Linked DNA regions of Arabidopsis thaliana. The protein of the gene in region 4 interacts with the protein of the main gene of each other region in a pairwise test. Each region holds a gene or a part of one and is shown on either strand. Other genes may lie near its edges.

Region 1 (5,984 bases), on a different chromosome or scaffold from region 4:
AGGGAGGGAGGGAGAGAGAGAGAAAGAGAGAGGGAGAGAGGGAGAGAGAGAGAGAAAGAGAGAGAGGGAGAGAGGGAAGGAGAGAGGGAAGGAGAGAGGGAGAGAGGAAGGAGGCAAAATTGTGAATAATACATAAAATATAGAGAATATGATTTTAGCATTTTAAAATTGTAGAAACAACAAAAAAATTAGAATAAAATGAAAAAATATATAAAAAAGAGAGTGAATTAATTGAAAACACCAGAACTAGTATTTTAAGAATGTTCATAATTCATATTAAAAAATATGATAAATAGTTTTCTGCAAATCGGATTCCATCAATAATTTGTGATTAGTAAAACGACTAAAATTTACATCACAAAATTATTTCAGTATATTCCACTAAAATTAATTTATAGCGGAAATTAGGTCATCTATGTTTCCAAAAAATAATTATATAAATTAAAATAAGAAGTAGGAATTTTGTTAGCAATAGTTACGTCAGGAATAATTCAAATTAGTAAGTGGTGCACTGTGCACATGGTATATGGCAGTTAGGGCCATAACCTCACCCTGTGTTAAAGTTTGTCCCTACCACGAAAAAGAGATTTGTGACTTCACGAAATCTGTAAAATAATAGCAAATATATATTAATTTGTTTATTAGCATAAATTTAACAAATTCTATTTGGTGATAACGTAAAATATATATATATATATATAATGTATAGATCTTTACCAAAATCTCTCTCCATATATATTGAACCAACCCTTAGTTTTGACCCAAAAACCCCTTAATTAGTAAAACTTATTAAAAACGTAAACCATTTTTCTTAAGTAAAAACTTGAACCTCAGATTTTTTCGATAAATTTCTGTAATCAAGTGAATTATCACTGTTTAGATTTTTATTCTATTACAACATCATTCAACAAATAATTTGATTTTCTAAAACCATAATGATAATATAATCCAAAATTTTCTTTTTTTATAAAACATAATTAATAGTACTACCTATTTAGTATTTACAAACGAATGCACAACAAACAATTCTATTGTAATATAAAATTCATTGCATATATTCATTCATAGGTCAAATTTAATTGACAATTCACATAGAAACCCAGATATTCTATCTACATTATATTATACATCTTTAGATAGTTTTATCCATAAATCTAGCTAATTAGACAAAACGTATTCTCTAAGAATTAAATCCTAGACACCAAAAGCATACTACATAACATATTTTGTGCTTTCTCATGCAATATTCTAATCTAATTACAGTTTTATTAATATTTTATGTTTGGTAAGCCGACATTTATTAATCACGACTAGTATCTAATTGTCTTAAGCCTATCGCATAATCACGGCTGCATTTCTACGTTTCCCAGTTAGAAAGTTATTTAAATTATTCGTAAAGTTAATGATTAGTTCCACGCCCTAAATTAACACTATATAGCACTTTAATAATAATAGTTAGATCCCAATTATATAATATATACTTATTTGTAGTTTGCACTTTAAGAATATCGAACACTTGAGCATATATACCAAAAACGGATAGTGGGAATGTAAGGATGATAAAGAAATGGATTAATGAGGAAATTAAAATGAATTATCCGATGAATCTTTTGTTAATTAGACACCAAGATAACTAATCATTGCAAAATATATTATTAGAATAATTAATATATAAAACAAAACCTGTCTCTTTTCTCAAAGAATAAAGAGAGATTTATGAAAAGGACACCTAGATCTTAGTTTGATCGCATATTAAATTAAGCGACAAAGTACTCTTCAAGATAAGAAACCATCAAATAATATTAAATAATTAACTAAATTGCAATAGTTTATTTATGTTTGGGACTCACATTTTAGGGTTCGTTTGATTACCTAAATTGACCTATAGTGTTGTGACTAATTCGGGTGATTAGTTCATATAATCTTTCCATTAGTGGAAAAGTATTATGAAACCTTTGGGAACGTTACAATTTAAAAAGACAAAATGCTTTTAAGATAAGAAGCCAAAAAACATATTATTAAAAAAAACATTAAAGTTATAAAATTTTCCTCATTAGGGTTCATTAAATTAACCAAAATTGACTTATTATAACATAATCCAATTTGTTGATATAAACTTACTTTAAATGGAAAAATAAGACAACGTCGTGGTAATGAAATTATAATAAAATTGGAAAATTAAAAAAGAGCTAAAAGAGTTTAATTAATATTAATAAAACGTATTAACGATAATAATACCAGTGCTTACTCTCTATGATCTAAAGCTAAAAACAAAGCTTAAGCTTCCATTATTATAACTCTTTCCCTGCAAAACGACATGATGTTTTCTTCTTCACGACGAAGACGACGAGGCGTTTACGTTTCCGCCACCATCAGCTCCTCCACTATCACTCTCAAATCTCCCACCACCACCGTCACCGTCGTTAGCTAAACCGCGAACTCCATCATCGTTACTGTTCTCGCCGCCGATACCGTTATCGTTTCTCTGCACGGTGGTTGCTCCTCCGCCGGAGAATTTGAAGGAGTTTTTGTTATTATGCATCCAAACTTTGAGAACACCTTTATCAACTCCGATCTCACGGCAAAAATCACGAACTTCGTCTTCGTCACGTTTCTGAATCTTCCAACCGATTCGATCGGCGAATTCATGCATCTTCTCTTTCTGATTTGAGCTAAACTTCGTCCTGAATCGCTTCCTCGAGCCAGGCGTGGCGGAGAGATGGTTAGCCGCGGCGGCGAAGTTTAGATCTGAGAACGGTGCGGTTTTATTATTACCGGAGAGAGCTAAAAGCATGTAGGAGGAAGAGATAGGCGGCGGAGAAGATGAATTAGGACTACGTGGTAACGGAGGAGCTAGCGGAGGAGGAGGATGATGACGGTGATGAGGCTGATACTCAATTGCGGCGGTTGTTGTTGAAGATGGAAGAAGAGACGGTGGTGGAACGGCGGAGGAATCGTCAGTTTCACGGCGGTGGAAGTTACGGTGACAACCACAAGCTGCACACTTGAGAGAAGTTGGATCGGAAGGTGTTGACGAAGGAGACGGCATAAATTCGCCGCAACCGTCAAGCGCGTGACCACCAATCGCCGCCGCGTGGTTCTTGAGACATTCTTTGTAAGTGACTTTGTTGTTGTTGTGGTGGTGGTGGTGGTGGCGTTTGATGATTCCGTTACTGAAAGAGATTGGTTTAGCTGGTTGGATCCGGGTCGGAGTTTCGGATTCGGGTTCTGGTGATTTTGGAGTCATATCCATTGATCTAACTTCAAGCATCTTTATGTTTTTATTTTCTTGAAAAAAATCAAGAAAATATTAGGGTTTATGTTAAGCTTACAAAAAAAGAAAAGTTTGATATTGAGAAATGAAGAAGAAGATGGATAAAAAGAGATTAAATCAACTTTTGAAGATCATGTTTTTTGTAATAAGTTTAAGAAAATAAACTTTAGAGGAAGAAGATGTGTTATAAGATGATGATAGTGAATCTGCTCTGGTTGATGAATGTTGCTAAGAGAGAATAAAATAATTTAATAGGGAGAGATATAAAAATGTTAATAAATGTGAATAATAAATATATTTAAAATAAAAGGACAGAGCTTGAAGATGTTTAACAGAGAAAGGTAGGGTTTGATGATTTAACTATGGTTAAATGTATGGTTAAAAGTGGGACCTGTAATAGGGAGTGGGGAAATATATATAGAGTAATAAATGTCTTAAACCTAAAGACAGTCCAATTATAATTAATATTCTCATGCATTGTGACACTTCTTGTTTTTTTTTGAAGTTGGCTTCTTTTTACTTTATTCTAATATTTGTTCCTTCTGTTAAAATATGTTTAGCATTTTGTATATTTGACTATTACAATGTAATTACCGAACAACTTTGTAAAAGTTTACTTATACTATTAGGTATTATTGTAAACTAAATAGTTGTTTTTCACAAAATAATATTAAAAAAAATACTTATTCTGTTTTGTTGTTTAAAGATTTTTTCCAAAATAAGTATTGTTCTAAATTTTCAATGTAAAATCTATAAAGTATGAATCAGTTTGGTTTTTAAAATATAATATATATTAATAATTTATATAAAAATATTTAAAACGATATTATTATGAATGGAGGAAATATATGTTACCAGCAGGTAACTATATTGAAAAATGAATAATCTCAAATAAATTCAGTGGTTATCATTTGAAGTCATTCAGCCACCTTTAAAATAAATTCAGCCATCATCAGTTAAGGGGTTGATTGGTTCTCCTTCTACTACATGCAAACGCATCATTTACATGTGGTAACAATTGTTAGTGATTGACAATAATCATATAAATCGCGGGATACTGCTCGGATCGCTCGATATCAATACATTTCAAAAACTCCTTCCCGCAAACGTTTGTAGTTGTGGATGGTAGCGGTTGAATTAAAATATTAAAATAATAATAAATAATCAACATATTTGTAATTAAGATAAATATATATAATTCTGTATATATCTTTTCATATTTGTATCTAATCCTATATATTATATTTATTTTGGATCTTTTTTATTTATTTAATTATTATTGCATCTAGTCATAAGATTTCTGCAAATGCATCTATTTTGAAACGTTAAATTAGTCGTTTAAAACGCTTGAAACCACAATATCTCGCTTCCGCAAATTTCCGCAACCGCAAGCGAAACCACAGCCCCGTCCGCTGCAATTAAACCAGTCATGTCTTTAGTCATATGCAGTTAAATTCTTCGGTTACCATAAATAGATCCTATATCAAATTCGGTCTTTTGGGTTTAAAACTAAGACCTAATGTCTAAAAACTACCGTCATTCAAGGTCATAGACTAAAATCTAAATTAGTATCGGAACTTACTAAATATATGTAATTTATATTTATTATTTAAAATATTCAAATTTTGATGATTCTCTGTCATGTGCGGTGGTGTGTACAAACAATCAAGCAAACGCCATGGGCCAAGGCCAATGTGTTCGTACCAAGCGACCATCGCCGAGAAAAACGAAGTCGGTGGCCAAAGTTTCTTCTGGGCGATCACATCAAGAGCATCACAACTTGCTCCTTCTTTCGAACAAGCAAAATACGGCTAAAACCAAAAAAAATAAAGAAAAACATTTCAGAACAAAGCCAATGATGACTAAACCATAGTGATGAGAATAATCACTATACAAATGAATTGGCAAATAAGAAGGTCGTATTGTACGCATGTTTTTGGATTCTGAAATCACAAATTATTTTCCAACGAATGATTGCATCATTGGACCGAGAAATTCAACCTATCGATCGGTAACCAAACACGAAAAATATGATCCTTCGATTTTTTTTTTTAATTATCTCTCAATCGGTTCGTACACCACCATCAAACATCAGTTAAGTGGTACGTGAAATATTAAACCACATATTACGTCCGATATAACAATCTTTGCCTTCTTCGTTTTTTGTCACAAATAAATTATGTGCATCTATGTGTATTTTGAATTTCGTACTACAAATATTTCTGTACATGGATTAGATATACAGATTCGGTGCATAAAAATTATGGTTAATGATGTCTATTATGAGAATAAGATGTATATTATGTTGGGGACTAAGTTTTCTTTATTGTTTTTTTTGTTTGATGATAAAGAATTATTCTATTTTCTTGGTCGAAAGAATGATGGAACCACATTTTTCTAGATCAGGAATCAGATTATCAGAAGAAGATAAAACAATATTTTTTTTTTGTACGTTTATTAGCTATAATGCATTAGTTTCTAACTGTGGCTATTAACTTAGACCGCGAGAGATTAAGAACATATTTTTAGCTGACCCGAACCAAATTAGTGATATACTGTAAAACGATTTTGGACAAGTTTCAGTGGCCCAATGGACTATATTAAATTACTATATTACTCCATCTTAGACAATTTTTATTGATGGTATCTTAACATAACTATTAATTAAAAAATATGTCTTATATCTAACTAAAGTGTTTTAAAGTCTTTT
Region 2 (6,025 bases), on a different chromosome or scaffold from region 4:
CAAATGAATCTATGATTCTTAATGATTTTAATTATGGTGTTATTGGTTTATGATTTTATACATTTTTTTTTACAAACTAAAATCATGAAAAGTATCAAGAAAAAATAAAGATTGTAAATCATGACCCTGATATTTTAGTTTAATAAAAAAAGACAAAAAGTTAGGATTTTTTTTGTCTTTAGGGCCTAAATAGGCTCACTTATTTTAAATTACTCATTAATCTCAAATCCTATTAAAACAAAAAAATGGAACTTTCACATAAAGATTTCACTTTTCAAAACCAAAACCATAAAAGGAAGTGGAGAAACAGAAACCCTGTTTACTTTACTTGTTGTCAAGAAGAGAAAGCATACCTCTGATCGAATTGGGTTCTCTCATTGACACTAGTTTGTAATTGCGACTGTAATATGAAGGGTGGAATCGAAGCCTGAAACAGATGAGAGAAGAGGCAGGAGGTTTATACCAGTACACAAAAGGGCGTCAAAGGTTTAAGTAAACAAACTGTTCTAAAAGGAACTGCTCATGTGCCGAACTTCCAGGTTTTAGAAAGTAAACTTGAAACAGATGCCAGGAAATTCATACCATAAAGAGTCTTCGTTTGTTCAATAAACCGTTTCCGCTGCAATAAAACCAGAAGAAGCATTGTGACCAATTAAAGCAAAGAGACATGGATCTAAATGAGACTCTAACAAAGCTGCAAAAGGAAAAAACAAAGGTCATCAGACACGGAATAGCCAAATGCAGCAGAATAAGAACCCAACTTACAAAGTACAAGACGGAAATTACTACACAATCAATCACACGTACATAGTTGGCTACTGGATAACCAGTGGAATCAGTCAGTAAAATGATATCAGACTACTCGATTGCATGATTTGAAGTATAAAGCTTAACCTATCTACAATTTTCACGCCAATTCCAACTGTTTATTGAACCATATCCTAGTCATGTCTCGGGAACACCCAAAACCTCTGCAGTTTAATTCGATATATACTGACTCGATTGTAAACTGAGCTAATCGTCTCTTAAATTGACGAATTTACGAAATCTGGAGATAAAAGGAACATGAACAATCGTATTCATCATCCAAACTACAAACAGAATCTCGGCTCTTCGCTCTCAGAATTCGAAATTGGCAAGTAACTCTGCTTTCTCTCCAATGGTTCTCTCCAATATTTCTCTCATCCGTGACAAGACAAGAAGTTCCATCGTTTCATCTCCTCCACCTAATGGGCTTTGTTTCCTTTGTGGGCTTCTTAATGTTTTTTTAAACGCTTTTGTTACTTTATTAAAGATAACAAGACCACAAGTCCACTATTCGTCTAACCGAAAAACATAAAATAAGAGGGCTAATAAAACAAAATATGCAAATAGTTCCCGAGATTAAATTGACATTAATACATACTATATACGTGTGGATCAACCTGAGAATTCAAACAGGTGCATATTCATATACACACGATCCATGTATACAGTAGAGATCTGATGATACAACACGTCCAAGCTAGTAATATGTAATATGTATACATATTAGTTGTTAATTATTCTAGAGATCTAACTAAGAAAAGAAGGTGGGAAAGCAAATTCCACAACCGATCGAAGCTCGTCCGGCCAAGTCTCGTAGGTTTCATGGTGAATGTTATCGTTGGAGAAATGTTGAAACGAATCAACGTGTGTGGTGTCCATGAGAATTGGCTGGTTTTGATGTTGATAAGGCGTTTGCTGAAGCTGGAAAACGCTTCTCTCGTAGTTCCCTTTGCCTTCCCTAACGTTCATCACGTTGGTACTACTACTACTTTCATTGTCCCCAAAATTTATATAAGCTTCTTGGTAATTAGATTGTTGCTGCTTCACACGTTTGCCATTTGCTAATTCTCTCCAGTCCGGAGTGTATTTTCGACTAGACACAGTTCTCTTAAATATCCGGCATAACGTCCATACTTCCTGCAATTATATAGTTAATAAGAACCATCCATGAGCATTCTTTCTCAAACCCTATGTATTTTTGCCATGTGAAGCGTTTATAGTGGCCAACCATGCATGATCATGATCAAGAGATAGCAAACTTACCGCGTGTAGCAAGGAAGTTGGAGTAGGGTTAGAGTGTGTAGGGCCACCGGGGATTGTGTCATTGGCTGTAGGGAGACGAAACTCGTGCATCATCCAATCCGTCTTGTTTCCTTTCCCGGCGCTTCCTAGGTAATAAACGAGTGTCTTCTTTAGACCGATCACGGCTTTGTTGGATCCATCGGAATAGACAGGCTTGTCTATCCCTGTGGCTTTCCAGAAACCGGAACCAGTCACTCGGTTCGGTCTTATGCTGTTTCTGTATTTCCTTCCTCTCTTACAAAAGAAGTAGCTCTCCTTCTCTGTATTCCTCGACCCTTCAAACAAAAATTATGTTTGATCATCAGTTTATAACAATAATTTATGTGTTAATTTTACTTCACAAACATGCATACACGACTTTACTTTTGTTTTTCTCATAAAAGTTAGACCTAATTTTTTTTCTATTTGTGTTTGCATGGTTTGGAGTGCAAAAAACAGAAAAAAGCAAGAGTGAGTAAAACAAACTTACTTGGAAGATCCCACGGATCAAATTTATAGATATCAATTTGGCTGACGATCTCATCAATCTTGCTCGTTTTTTTGAGAAGCACTTTTTTAGAGAGATAATACCCTACAAGCTCCTCATCCGTCGGATGAAACCTAAACCCTGGAAGCTTTAACGCATCCTCATCTTCTGATTCTCTTGTGTTGTCCCGTGGTTCTATCATCTTCTCCATGGCTTTGGTTTCTATTTCTTCCTTTTTGCTCTTTGGACTCACATATAAGAATCTTCTTGAGATTTATATAAAGAGAGTTTGTGTCGTGTGTCTATCTATCATAAGATCGATTTGGTCAAGTCATTTCTGTTGACTTAGTGATCCTTTGTAATCAATGATATATCCGACCCGGTAAAAGTCTTTTGGGCTTGAGTTTTTAGAACGAGTCTTTTCGCATCTATACGTGGACCCAATAAATATGACGCTTTTACCTTTCGCATTATTAGGACGCAAGGAAAACGCTAAGGAGAGGACTGACTTTTTGACACACAAAAATTTAATTTTTGTGTGTTCTCTTCCAAAATGTCTGACGAGTATTCATTGTTACAACATTAACTTCTTCTAGACCCATCATTAATTGTTTGCATATTATATTCTTGACCACCACAAAACATCTACTAATCATCATGACGTTAAACGCATAAATCCGACTTTGTGCTCGTAAAGGTAAGATTTGTATTGCTTCGTTTGGAGATTTTAACTTGGAGTCTTGGAGAGATCAACAAACTAAAAAGAAAAAATATGAATATTGTTACATTTTTTATTTTTCTATTTGGTAATTTCTCCGAAATTGACAATGACAGATCCACCAAATAAAAACCGAATATTACCTGTCAGTTCCTTTCTCACTTCTCCAAAATATTTTACTGGTTATTGTAGTTATTAGTTAAGCTTGGTTTTTGAACTTGAAAGTAATTGGTCTTAATTTAAACTCGTCTCTTGTCCCTTTATTTTAATATCGTTGCAACTGATAACTACAGCTACGGGATGGTTCATAAACCGTCGTTAGTAGCCAACCAATCCCCAGAAGCTTATTAATTCCAAATTATATCTAGATCCAATTAATAATACTGAAACTCATTAACAAACCATACTTTCAAAGATCGGCATATCGGATTTCTTCGTTTATGTTGATCTTACATCTTCATTCGGATTGATATCTCAACAATTAATTATTTTACGTACATATATATCCATTATATATCATAAATTAAAATTATTTCCAAACTACTTCTCTCTGGACAATGAAGCTTATCTTCCACCATCTCACTGGACGACCTTACATTTTTGTAATGCCTTACTTTTTTCTGAAGAATGCAACATGACTTACTATACCACATTTTTTTCTTTTTTAAATATGAGAAAAATCATATTTAATCCGGTGGTAATTGTTGTAACACTATTTGCAAAATCCACGAGGCGAAATTTCGATCAGAGGAGCGTGCTTAAAGCTGTGGAAATATGCTGTCTATTTAAAAGTAGTGGAAATACTAATACTTATAATTATTGTCACCATAATTACCTATTATATTCAGAAACCACAATTTCCACTGCACTGAAAGAGTCTCTCCCATTAATACACTGCTCATTGTCAAAACTCACTCTACGAAAAAACGTTATTCAAGTAATGTTGGTTCTGACTTTTTTGTCCAAATCTTTACCACTTTTTTAGATAAGCTTTTGGTAAAAGTACCCGGTACAAATAGCACAACGAGTAAAATATTTTAAATAAAATCTAAAAGTCACTGATTTCGAATGGTATTTAGAAGAAAATCATACATAATATTTTAATCCTCAATATGATAAAGATGTACATGTCTAGAACTAGAAAATTTATTTTTATTTTAAAAAAAAAAATTAGAGAAGGAATCATTCTCCGGTACAAACATTATCAAATTTCATTGGAATGTTAAAAAGAACTAATACTATCTTAATATTGTTTCATTCTATTAGATATACTTTATATCTTACATTTTCTATATAAATTTAAACGCTTTTAATATTTTGTGATCATTTTTTTATCTTTATTATTATTTTTTTAACTAAAATATTAAATTATTTTTGTAAGTAAAACAAAGTTCTTAATATGTGTGTTTGTAGCCAAAATATTTATAAAATTGGACGTACAGAGAAAATATTAACTAATCTAGTTCTGATGTAAAATAGAAGTAACAAACATAGGGAAGCCATGGAAACGAGAGTAATTTAATACATGAATTCGGTATATAAAAGGGAATTGCTTGAAAGGTAGACATAAAAAAAACAAAAATGAATATAACTCATATAACTTCCCCTATTTATTAATTGTTTCAATTTGTTGGTCAATTCGTAGCGGCTGGTCAAGTCAAAGGATAATTCAACCAGAGTCATCAATGGTTGACCCCAAGTTGTTCTTGTTGGACATCTTCCTCTCAATCTATTATAAACTTTTTTCGGCACTAAAAAAACTCTTATTAATTTGCATGGAGGTGAAAATATTATCGGGGAAAAGTAAACCATAACACCTATATTTATTTTATGCATGTATAGAAACATATTTAACCACACTTTAAGATTTTGGTATACTCTCATGTATGCTCCAAACGCAAGAGAGAGAAAAATTCATGTAACGATTCCATATTTAAACACGTTATTTATATAGAATTATTCGAATTTGTGGTGAGTTAACGAGTTTTAATTGGGCGTGAGTGGAAAACTTTAGACTTTATAAAAATTAAAACAGGAAAACTAAAGAAGGATGCAATGGCACGAGTTTTGAAAATCCGTATAAATCTTACGTCACACTTTTTTTTTTTTCCCACTACGTCATACTGTTTGAAGTACACGATTCATGTCAATTGTAATAAAGTCCCTACCGCTTATGTCCGCTTATGTGACATGGACTTTCTTCAAAGTTGAACCATATGTTTAGTTAACCGGTGCCGTTTCAAAATAATTTTTGTTTCTTGCTTCTTATAGTCAACGGAAAATTATGTACGACCTAGAAATATAGTATGCCATGAATCCAATAAGTCTAAATCGTAAATATAGTATGCCATGAAAACGATCGAGATGAATAATGTAACTCAAATTAACTTTCAAAATGTGGGGAAAAGTCCCCATATATAAATTGAAATTCCGTGGAGAAATTGGCAAAAAGATAAACCATTGCAGTAAAAAACCATTAAGTGAGTCAAACTCTGGGACTTTGAAATTTTGGTAAAAGAACTCAACCATTCAACCTCATATGCATAAAATTTCATAAAGATCCATCAGTTTAAGAATGCACACGAAGAAGGCAACTTTTATTAATTTGTAAATTGTACAAAAATAAAAACATGGATCGAAGAAGGATAAAAAGTTACATCAAAAAGAAAAGAAAACAAAAATGGAAAACAATACAACTCCTTGTAACGTGGGAACTGGGATAGAAAAAGAAC
Region 3 (5,432 bases), on a different chromosome or scaffold from region 4:
TAGGTTAGCGAAACATAAAACTATATATCATCTAGATAGATAGCCGAATTAATTGCATAAAATGAATGTGATTTTTTATTTGAAAAATAAATAATTGGATGCTATTTCATTAGAAACAGTGTGATATTTTATAAATGTCTTTTGCAATAAAAATGATTAAAAATTCATATATATGTCTTTTGCAATAAAAATTCTGATGAAATAGCATCCAATTAATATTTTTTCAAATAAAAAATCACATTCATTTGTATGGAATTATTTTGTATTTCACCCATTCATATATATGTCTTTTGCAATAAAAATTCTGATCTACTGATCAAATACAAAATCCAATACTATAAAGTTTAATCTAGCGTTAGTATAAATTGATAATACATTTATTTTTTTAAAAACCATCCTACAACTATAGCAACAAATTCGTTCTTCATTTTAATTTAAGTCAAAGAATTAAATTGGTTTGCCACATGCATGATTGCAAATCTGGGAAAATGGAAGTCCAGTCGATCAATTTAATAATTATTCAACAAAACGAATCTCTTTATAATTTGGAATTTGAAACTTGAAACAGCATATAGGTGACGACTCCTCCTTCGTCAAAGAATCTTCCATTAAATATCACCCCAATAAGAAGCTTCTGATGACAAGGAATAAAGACCATCAGATGCTTCGTTCAAGATGTGTGTGAAGAGCCAACTCTTTACGGAAAGATATATGTATTAGGACAATATAGTGTATAGATACAATTGCATTATCCTTATTTAGGACAATTATATGAGGGCTGTTACCGAAGCTTTATCCTTAAATGGATGTACATATAATATCCTAATCACGTATCTTATTAGTTAAAATCTACTTGCCTTTAAAGTTCAGGAGATTCGTTTGTAGTGTCAACGAGAATGGGTCACATCTTGTATTCAAAAGGAGTGTTATTGTGTTTCTCAATGTCACTAGTTAAAGTAGCCGTGTCAAGTAGGAAGTATCTATATAGAGACTACATCCTGTTTTCACCTTTTACTCCTTAAACTAGGATTAGTACTGTAGAGAAAGAAAAAAAACTAGGTACTGATTTCCTCCTATATATTAACCAGTTACCTATATATTTCAATTTTCTTAGTTACTCACTCATGAATTATTATTTACAGCATTGTTACACTATATACTTACTTATATATAAATATAAACAAAAAAGAGAGAGTAAATACCCTTAATATCACTCGAATACATATCCATATACATGTCATGAGTCATGATCCATCGTTACAAGTTATGCCCAAAATGACAAGTCTTCTAGGATAATAATTTTTAATTTTAAAAAAACTTAGATAATTTATATTTCTGACGTGACATTCCGGTCGGATCAGAGACTACCGTAACCTCTTTTTGTTTCGGTTTTTCCTTATCTCAAGAAGATGAAGACCCATCACTGTAAAGAGATCTACAACTTCAAATTCAAAGACATAGAGGACGTCGTGTCTCTGCTCCTCCCGTTGTTAAAGTACTTATTGTTGTGGATCCAAACCTTAAGAACTTTTCTCTCTATTCCAACTTCACTACAAAACTCTCTCACCCACTTCTCATCCCAGCCGTTAATCTTCCACCCCGCTCTCTCCGCGAAACCTCTCATCTTCACCTTCTGCTCCGCCGTGAATTTCGTCCTCTTATGTTTCTTAATCATCGCAGTCTTCCTAACATCCCTTTCCACCGTAAATTTGTTCTTGACTTCTTGATCCGAGGGTCCAAAGAAACCGGAGCTAAGAGAGAGAAGCAAGTTCGGAACAGGGGCGAGTGGCTGCAGCTGTAACGGAGACGGTGGTGACCGGTGCTGACTGAAGCCGTCAGAAGGACTACGACGGTGGAAGTTGCGATGGCAGCCACAAGCATCGCACCTAAGGGACGGAGGGTCCGTGAGGATGGTGGTTGACTTTGGTGTGAACTCACCGCAGCCGTCAAGAGCGTGGCCTCCGAGACTGACCGCGTGGTTTTTAAGGCACTCGTTGTACAAGACAACCATATCTCGGGCGCAGGCGATTGTTTGTTCTCTGCCGGTGTCTTGGTTGTTTGTTGTTGGTGACAAAAATTGTCTGTTTGGTTTTGATAACGAGCTCATGTCTGATTCTTATTTCACTCACTAGTGCGTTTATACTCTGTTTCTGGAAATGTTGTCAATGACATAAAGGGAGAGATTTTGTCCAATAGGTTTATATAAATAACATTGTTGATTGCAATTTGGATTAGTAAATAATCCTATTATTTAGCATTAGTTTGGAAACTTTTTAAAAAGACAAGAAGAATGAGATGCGTGTTTTCAGTCATGATTAATCAAATCTGAAAACGCTTAAGAATTATATAAAAACCTTACGTTTCTTTTTTTTTGGGGGGGAGGATAAAAACCTTACGTTTCTGCAAGAAAAGAGATTTCGAATTTCATGCATGATCCATGGTTAGGTTTCTCTATGCATGGTGGCACGTGGGGCCAAATAACTTTCAATCTTTGTCAACCGAGTTAACCTGGTCTACTAAATCGAGTTGACTCAGAAATTCTCTCGTGATCTACGCTTTTCTCCTATTGTTGTGGATGGTTGTCTCGCATCTAGCTCCCATCCCATACGTTGTCTCCAATGAGAGAAAATATATAAATAAAATTTTTAGATTTAAACAATACACTTCCACGTACATATTATTTTGTAAACAAATTATCGCTTCAGGTTTTTGTTCTATAGTTTTTCTAAAGAACTTGTGGAGATAGTTTTTCTATCTTTAATTACCTTGCATGTCAACAAAAACGAGTAATTTCAGAATCAGATGACGCCATGTCTATGGTTGCTTCCTGCCTACAATGGTTGCGGCCAACTTGGGAATATCATGGTTCGCCGTCAATGGCACGCTTGATGGGAAGCGATGACGATGTAGACGTTGTTGGTCCTCACTACTTCCCACACCAAGAAAGTCTCTGGTCAACTCTTCTTCATTATTCTTCGCCGTTAAACAATAGGAGTTTAGCATCGTATTGTTGAAGATGGAGGAAGTCATTTGCCCAAACATGGTGGTGCTAGTTTCGGAGCTTGATGGTGTTCCCGTTTGAGCTACCTTTTGAAGCAATGTTGTTGCCGAAAATGAAGCCATATTCACTGCTTCTTGATTATACGAGAACAAGGATGCTATGTTTCCATCGGTTGGGTTTGAGCCGCTGTAGATATTTCCCTTCTTTATCTCATCTTCTTGATTCTTGAATATTCCCTTATGGAATATGTTTTTGTTATTGTTCATATATTCATTGAGTAACCACTGGTGTGCACATTCCTCTTCTTGTAACTTCCATAGATTATGAACCGAATCAGATGTACTACGAGGTGATGGTGGTGAGGACAACGCCAAAGCATTGGGTTGTTGTTGGGTTGGGTTGGAGTTGGTGAACTTTTGTCCAAATAGGGTGGTGTGATTGTTGTTGACGTTAAGATCGGCCGTACCTGTGGAAGATTGATCCAATTGTGATTGAATGAGAATTGGATTGTTGGTATCAGTGACAGTGGCGATGGTCGAATTGGCGGCTAATGGTGAAGGAACTGAGAAGAATTTAGAACTTTCTTCAGCTAAGACATCACAGAAGGATCTATGTGAGATGAAACTGTCCTTCCTGGTACAATCAACCAAATCATTCAATAAAGTAACTATGTTAATATAGGCTAATTGGTAACATATAAATTAAATTAAAATAGGTCTTCTTGTATATGGTATATATGCAACTCTTTATTCGATGCAAGCTTATAATCGATATGTGTAGTAAGGTGAAAAAAAAAAGACTCAAGGCTATGGAGACATGACCACATCATGTCCTAGTCATGCAGCCTTTTTTCTCCTCGATATTGGTGTCTCTATAAAACTACAAACTGGACCAAGACACAGAGAAGCCAAGAAATAATTAACGGTAGTGGTATCCAAATGACAAGCTACGAGCCAAAGACCAACGTACTCGCTATACATAAAGTAAACTCAATAACTTTTTATTTTTCTAGCATAGGCAATATCATGCTTTTATGTATGCATGCATCTGTTTCGATGTCCAATTATAAGACCCGGTTTGTTTCAAATATAATTCAAATATGTTTTGTGTTTTACGTTTATATTTATATTTTTATCAAACACTTCAAATAAATGCAAACCTGAAGATTTGAAAACGTTTTTTCCGTTGTTACAATTTTTAAAAATGTTTGATATATGAACATGTTAAGGCAAACGATAATGCTGCAGACGAAGACGTAGAAAGAGTAGTAATGACCTGGAGAAAAGAGTACCACAATCACATCTAAACTCTCTGCTACCACAAATCTTGTTATGAGCTTTCCAATCGGATATCACAGCATACTTCTTGGAACACTTATCGCATTTCCACTTCTTCTCTCCATGTTTCCTGCTAAAGTGCTTCTTTATTCCAGTAAGGTCTCCTAGGGCTCGAGCTGGATCATGATGGACGCAACTCTTCTCAGGGCATATATAAACTTTCTTCTTCACCTGATTCTTGTTCGTTTTCTGCTTCAGCTTCCATGGCAGGTTGTGGCCTCTTTTGTGGAGCTGAAGGTTCTGTTCTCTCTGAAACCCCTTGTTACAAATTTCACAAAAGAACCGATTTGTCGCCATGAGGGATTTTGGAGATAGAGAGATGACTTCTGCATTTGGATCTGTTTTTTGTTGTTGTTGTTAGAAACAAAATTAGAACCAATAAAAATAAAACAGTATCAAGAAAGAAAAAAGAAAACACAAAGGATCTATACTTGGAAAAAGATTATTGATTTTGATGAAAACACATCAAGCTAGAGCTTTATTAAAGACCCATGGAGAACATATAAAATTATATATACACATGCCTGGATTTCCTGGAAGGTTTCTCTTTTTCTTGGGTGTTTTAGTGGAGGCTGCAGGCTGAGAGTTAGGGTAAGGATTAGGGGTGATGTGCTCTTGGTCATGGACAAAGCTAGAGAATGAGAGGCGGTCATGATTATGTGGAATCATCATGTCTTGATTCATATGTAAGAAGAGACAAAAAAAAAAAAATAGTTTAGTTTGTCTTAGAGTTCTCCACTTAAACAAGCAAGAAGACAGAAAGAGAGAAATGAAAGAAGAAAACTAGTAATAATGTCTTGATTATCTATCTAATGACACTACATCTTTGTGACATATAAAAACTAAATCAAAATATTTTCTTATGGGCTGAAAAGTGGGGATATTATTGAAGTTTTAGAAAGTTTTTTTTTTTTTTAGTTTTTGGTCGTTGGTAGAAAAACTTTCTTTTTGGATTTTTATGTTTAAGAGATTGTGATGGGTGAGTGAGGTTTTGATCACTTGTGAAGAGTATGACACCAAAAAGAAGAGGCTGCCGAAGACGGCATCTCTCTTCTCTCTTTACACACAACTGTTCTATTACAAGTCGGTAAGTC
Region 4 (6,159 bases):
GTAGATAGATTCTCAACAAGAAAAAAAGGTTTTTTTTTTTTTTTTTTTTGGATTCGTGGATCAGCCATCTTCTCGAAAGATTTGGGAAAGATCCAAAGAATCACAATATTTTTTCGATATTTAGTCGAAAGGAATTTAACATGTCAGGTCCACTTGATCGATTTGCAAGACCATGTAAGAGATCTCAATCTTCTTTGTAATGTTCTTGCTTCTGGGTTAGCTTTTTTCTAGGTTTACTGTAGCTTAAACTTGGAATTGTGTCTAATATAATAATGAGAATCTAAAAATTGTGTCTCTTTGCTTTCTCGTGTCTTCAATATATGTTGTTGAGCTGGTTAAATAATGTGTATTGCTTTAGATAATTTTTAATGTGTCTCATCAAATCAAAACAGCTTTCACTACAGGTTTTGAGGGATTCTTGAGCAGTGATGAGAAAAAGGAAAGAAAGTCAGATTTTGAGAATTCAGAGGATGAGAGGAGAACAAGAATCGGTTCCTTGAAAAAGAAAGCCATTAATGCCTCTACTAAGTTCAAGCATTCTCTTAAGAAAAAGAGCGGAAGAAGAAAAAGTGATGGTCGAGTGAGTTCTGTATCCATTGAGGATGTGAGGGATGTCGAGGAGCTACAAGCTGTTGATGCGTTTCGACAGTCGTTGTTAATGGACGAGTTGCTTCCTGATAGACACGATGATTATCATATGATGTTGAGGTTCTTGAAAGCGAGGAAATTTGATGTTGAGAAAGCTAAACAAATGTGGGCTGATATGATTCAATGGAGGAAAGAGTTTGGTACTGACACTATTATTCAGGTATGCTATTAAATAGAAGATAGTAGTTTAAACCATTGTTGTCTGTTTTTGTAACGTTTTATTTCTCTCGTTAGGATTTTGATTTCGAAGAGATTAATGAAGTTTTGAAACATTACCCACAATGTTATCACGGTGTTGACAAAGAAGGTAGACCTATTTACATTGAAAGGCTAGGGAAAGTTGATCCTAACAGACTCATGCAAGTTACAAGCATGGATCGATATGTAAGATATCATGTAAAGGAGTTTGAGAGGAGCTTTATGATCAAGTTTCCTTCCTGCACTATTTCTGCAAAGAGGCATATTGATTCAAGTACAACTATTCTTGATGTTCAAGGAGTGGTAAGTATTTTCTACAGTTCATGATATTAGTTGTGAAATGAGTTTTTTTCTCATGTGTTTATATAACTTCATATTCAGGGATTGAAAAACTTTAACAAGTCTGCTCGAGATCTTATCACACGATTACAAAAGATTGATGGAGACAATTATCCTGAGGTATTAGTTAATTGGAGCTTCTAATACTTGATCTCAGGTATCAAATGCTAATCTTGGCTTTGTGGTATTTCATGCAGACTCTCCACCAAATGTTTATTATCAATGCAGGGCCTGGATTTAGGCTACTCTGGAACACTGTCAAGAGCTTTCTTGACCCTAAGACATCTGCTAAAATTCATGTATGAGAGATCTAAGTTATATCTCTATTTAAAAGTCTTGTCTTTGATTATATAGAATTCAATATGGACTATTCTATTGTTTATGTAGGTACTCGGATACAAGTATCTAAGCAAATTGCTTGAAGTCATTGATGTCAAGTATGTGAACCTTGACCCACCCTTATTTGATCTGTTCTATCGAAAGCTGCACGTTTTTTTGTTTTTGCTTATGTTCAAAATGGTCTGCACTTTTTTATAGCGAGTTGCCTGAGTTCTTGGGAGGTGCATGTACTTGCGCAGATCAAGGCGGTTGCATGCTTTCTGACAAGGGACCTTGGAAAAACCCGGAAATTGTGAAGGTCATTTACTTAGACTAATCTCTTTTTGGATTCTATTTGTATCATCCAAGTTGGAATCTGAGACATTTGGTTTTCTTCTCATTATTTCAGATGGTGCTTCATGGAGGAGCACATCGAGCGAGGCAGGTGGTGAAAGTGTTGAACAGCGAAGGGAAAGTCATTGCTTATGCAAAACCTTCATATACATGGGTACGTAGTTATTAAATCCTATAACTAGTCAATCTTTAACTTGTGGCTGACCATATTGTGCCTAAACTCTGCTCTGTCATAAACATAGATAAAGGGAAGTGACACATCCACTGCAGAGTCAGGATCTGACGCTGAAGATATCGGTTCTCCGAAGGCTATAAAGAGTTTCTCTCATCTCCGCTTGACACCTGTTCGTGAGGAGGTAACTTTTTTCTCTTTCTTTCTATCTTCTAGTTGGGGAAGTAGTAGATGTTTATCCTGAGGCTTTGCAGGCAAAGATAGCTGGTGAAACAAGCTTGGCTGGTAGTTTTCCGGGTTATGACGAGTATGTACCTATGGTGGACAAAGCCGTTGACGCCACCTGGAAGGTGAAACCCGCCATCCAGAGAGTTGCCTCAAGAGGTTAGTTAGTTAGCTGCTATATGCTTTACGTACCAGTAGGCTCCGGTTTAGAACCAAATACTGAAGGAAAAGAATTTAACCTAATCCTTGTTTACATAGGATTTATTTTCTTATTAGGATTGTTTTGGAGTTGGTTATAAAAACAGAGTTTTTTTGGTCTTTCTTTGTTTGGTGATCTTAACTCTTATCTGTTTCCTTCAGGAGCTTTAATGTCTCCCACCGTTCCAAAAGATCATGAAGGCATCAAGGCTCGAGTCCTAGTAATGTTCATGGCATTCTTGATGGCGGTTTTCACATTCTTCCGCACTGTAACAAAGAAACTTCCAGCGACTACTACTTCTTCCCCAGCAGAAACCCAAGGAAACGCAATAGAACTTGGTTCTAACGGTGAAGGAGTTAAAGAGGAGTGTCGTCCTCCTTCTCCTGTACCAGACCTCACGGAAACTGATCTACTAAACTGTGTGACGAAGAAACTGACAGAGCTGGAAGGTAAAATCGGAACGCTCCAATCAAAGCCAAATGAGATGCCATACGAGAAAGAAGAACTGTTAAACGCAGCCGTCTGCAGAGTAGACGCACTTGAAGCAGAGCTCATAGCTACTAAAAAGGCCCTTTACGAAGCTTTGATGAGACAGGAAGAGTTACTTGCTTACATTGATCGTCAAGAAGAAGCTCAGTTCCAGAAGATGAAGAAGAAGAAGAAGAAACATCTCTTTTGCTTCTGAAGCAAAGCCAAGAAAAACCAGCACCAGGCATCAAAATCTCCCTCTTTCGTAATTCGCTGTTCTTAAGTATAAACAACAAAACAAAACAAAAACTCTTATATCTGATTTGATGTTAAAGCTAATACAGAGAGCTCTGTTTCCTTCTGTGATTATGAGCCACTTTATATTATATGTTTTATTTTTATAATCATAAAAAAATCTGTAACTGTAAACTTGTTAATGCAAAACGAAAAAAGAGTATCGAAATTATTAATCAGGATTCTGTTTTTTTTTAGGATTTTGTTTTTATCCAGATACAAGATATTGTAGCCACATATCCCATATAGTGATTATCTCTTAACGTATCTCAAAAGTTTTTGCATTTTTCTTTACTTCATATTTTGTTTTTGTAAGATCAATCAGTTTTTATGAAGAGAAAATGGAGATAACAATATCCCAATTGTGCTCTCGAGTTAAGTTTTCATCATCATCATCATCATCATCACTTTTCTGTTTCTATGGAAACAGTAATAGAAACAACCTAAATGGAGCTGTTTCAGTAAACTGCTTGAGAGAGAATGAGCAGATCAGTAATATTAGCTTCATTGCGAAGAAACCAAGAAGTCATGCACCGGTGGTGAGAACAACACGCGCCTCCTTGGATGAGAATCAATCCCCAACTTCCGGAGGAGAACGGTGGCTTCTCAAACCAGTTGGTCAGAGGCTATTTTTTTGTTTCTCTAGGTTTAATATCAATGAGCTTCTTTAATCTTTTTGAGTCTTGAAAGTCTTTTTGCCTGAAAACTTATAGGCGATGGAGACACAAGACACATTGGTTACAAAGTGGCAATGCCTGCTCCTTTTGAGATCTCCTCTGTAAGAAACTATACATTCCACTAGATTGATTGATTTTGATGAGTTTTTAGTTTTTGCTAAGATCACAAAAATGGGTATTGAGCAGGGCCAAGTTACCATCGGACGGCTACCGGAAAAGGCTGACGTCGTGATTCCTGTTGCCACCGGTATTTCTCTGTTCTTGTGGTTTTCGGTTTTCTTGAATTTGTAATCAAAGTGAATTTGGTTTTAATATGAATCAATTTGATATAGTTTTGGTTTCGGGTTTAGGTTCGGATTCGGTACTAGATTTTCGATTGTAGATGGTTTATTGCTTTAGTTTGGATCAGAATCCAACACTCCTAGTCTTTTAACCTCAGTGTCAGGAGTCCATGCGACAATCAATACGAATGAAAAGAACCTTCTTGTGACGGATATGAACAGCACCAACGGTACATTCATCGAAGACAAACGTCTAATTCCTGGTGTTGCTGCTCCTGCCTTTCCCGGAACACGAATCACCTTTGGTACACCAATCTTTTCGCATGATTTTCCATCTCTCTCTCTGTGAATGTGATGGACCGATCAATGAGGTTAAACTCTTTGTGTGACTTGCAGGAGATACAAATCTAGCAATTTTCCGTGTTTTCAAGCTCCAAGATAGTGAAGAATCCATAGAGAAACCAACTACAGAGTAACACAAAACCCGAGAATTGCTTATCTTTGCTTGCAATTAACCGGTTTTTGTTGAAATTCTAAGTTGTTTTACAACATTGTTGATTTATATATATATGAACAATAGCTTTTTATATAATATTATAACATATATATTTTTGTTTTTGGTACGTTACAAATTAGGTGTGAAAGAATTGATAAGTGGTAAACATAAGCTTTCAGATATTTCCAGAGGGACAAACAACAAAACATTTACAGAAAGAAAATTTCCCACATTTTTATCTGTAAAAACTCTTCACGAATAATATTTATGTTTATATATATAATAAATATGGATTTATATATATTTTTCCAGGTTTCTTCAAAGTCTTGAGGCATTATCAAGTCTTTCAGAATCCAAAGAACTGAAAACAAAAACAAAAAAAACATATAAATACGTAAACAAAATCAAGTACGAATAAATCTTGAAAAAGAGTGTTTTAAAATGTGTTAGTTTGTTGTTACCTTCTTCTTCTTTTTCTTCTTGTCGATATAAGCCATTATCACATGCTGCGTTGCCATGGTTTCCTCCAGCGTCTGAATTTTCAACAAAATAAAATTGATTTATAACAGGATTATGAAAATGGTCTAAATTTTAGATCAAAAGAATTAAAATAGCTTTTAACTTTTATAAATGAACAAAATAGTCTAAATTCAAACTTCTAAACTCTAAAATAAGAAACTAGTTATGGAGGCTGTTTAACTTTGTACCTTTTTGGTCTGAGCCAACTGAAGCTCTAGCTCGTCGACACGGCTGAGAGCAGCGGTGAGAATCTGTTCTTTCTCTGGCGAGAACGCTGCAGGCTGATTGTCCAAAGACCTACATTTCTCCTCCAACTCGGCCATTCTCTTCACCATCGACATATACTCTTGGTTTGACACCATTGTAGTCTCTGCTTTGTCCACTTCACCACCGTAAATGGCAGCCTCAGTGAGCTTCCTTGGCATGTTCTTCGTTAGCCTCACCACAGTCATTAACCCCATCACCAAAGACATCACTCCCCCGAATAAATAACCTTCTCCTCCTCTCCTCTGCGATGGCTTCACGGCAGAGTATAAATCTGCGACGGCAAGAACACATTTAGGTAATAAGTGGTATTCTTGTTGAAGAGTGTAGCGGTATAGTATAATAGCAGAATCTCTTTTCAAAGACATGAAACTATGATGAATGTTTGGAATGGTAATAAAAAAAAGAATCATGTTTTCAAAACGTGAAAACACGAATAAATTTAGTGTAGTGTCAATGTTTCAATGTAGTGTACCTTCAGGTTCAGGATAGTTTGACTTGTGGAGATTTGTAGGCCATGTAGAAGCATTCACAGTTTTGTCAATCATCGGTATGAATTTTGTGTTCTCTGCATCGAATTTGTTCTTCTGCCAATAGGATTTTCAAAATCAGTCATACAGAGAAAGAGAGAGCTAAAGAAGTAACCTTTATTATTGACAAAAGAGAGAAACTCACCGCAAAGGAATCAGATTTCTTCAAGCAAAAAT

Evidence for each region.
Region 1: the proteins of AT2G21530 (region 4) and HB34 interact in a two-hybrid assay, tested with the Arabidopsis thaliana proteins (one large-scale study listed by BioGRID).
Region 2: the proteins of AT2G21530 (region 4) and AT3G12910 interact in a two-hybrid assay, tested with the Arabidopsis thaliana proteins (one large-scale study listed by BioGRID).
Region 3: the proteins of AT2G21530 (region 4) and HB26 interact in a two-hybrid assay, tested with the Arabidopsis thaliana proteins (one large-scale study listed by BioGRID).

The regions. Positions count from the first base shown.
Region 1 is NC_003074.8:10,938,266-10,944,249, forward strand, and holds HB34 (homeobox protein 34), read right to left. Parts: upstream 3,569-5,984; 5' UTR 3,272-3,568; coding exon 2,333-3,271; 3' UTR 2,040-2,332; downstream 1-2,039. UniProt on the Arabidopsis thaliana protein: Putative transcription factor.
Region 2 is NC_003074.8:4,106,178-4,112,202, reverse strand, and holds AT3G12910 (NAC (No Apical Meristem) domain transcriptional regulator superfamily protein), read right to left. Parts: upstream 2,829-6,025; 5' UTR 2,787-2,828; coding exon 2,579-2,786; intron 2,385-2,578; coding exon 2,071-2,384; intron 1,945-2,070; coding exon 1,555-1,944; 3' UTR 1,354-1,554; downstream 1-1,353.
Region 3 is NC_003076.8:24,320,173-24,325,604, reverse strand, and holds HB26 (homeobox protein 26), read right to left. Parts: upstream 2,235-5,432; 5' UTR 2,108-2,234; coding exon 1,436-2,107; 3' UTR 1,270-1,435; downstream 1-1,269. Other genes in the region: AT5G60470 (C2H2 and C2HC zinc fingers superfamily protein), read right to left, coding at 2,815-3,634, 4,277-4,676, 4,863-5,022. UniProt on the Arabidopsis thaliana protein: Putative transcription factor.
Region 4 is NC_003071.7:9,215,816-9,221,974, forward strand, and holds AT2G21530 (SMAD/FHA domain-containing protein), read left to right. Parts: upstream 1-3,436; 5' UTR 3,437-3,556; coding exon 3,557-3,833; intron 3,834-3,928; coding exon 3,929-3,993; intron 3,994-4,078; coding exon 4,079-4,139; intron 4,140-4,331; coding exon 4,332-4,478; intron 4,479-4,569; coding exon 4,570-4,649; 3' UTR 4,650-4,793; downstream 4,794-6,159. Other genes in the region: AT2G21520 (Sec14p-like phosphatidylinositol transfer family protein), read left to right, coding at 141-174, 393-808, 883-1,149, 1,228-1,305, 1,383-1,484, 1,573-1,622, 1,723-1,822, 1,913-2,011 and 3 more; SFH3 (SEC14-like 3), read right to left, coding at 5,016-5,030, 5,131-5,202, 5,377-5,726, 5,928-6,039, 6,128-6,145.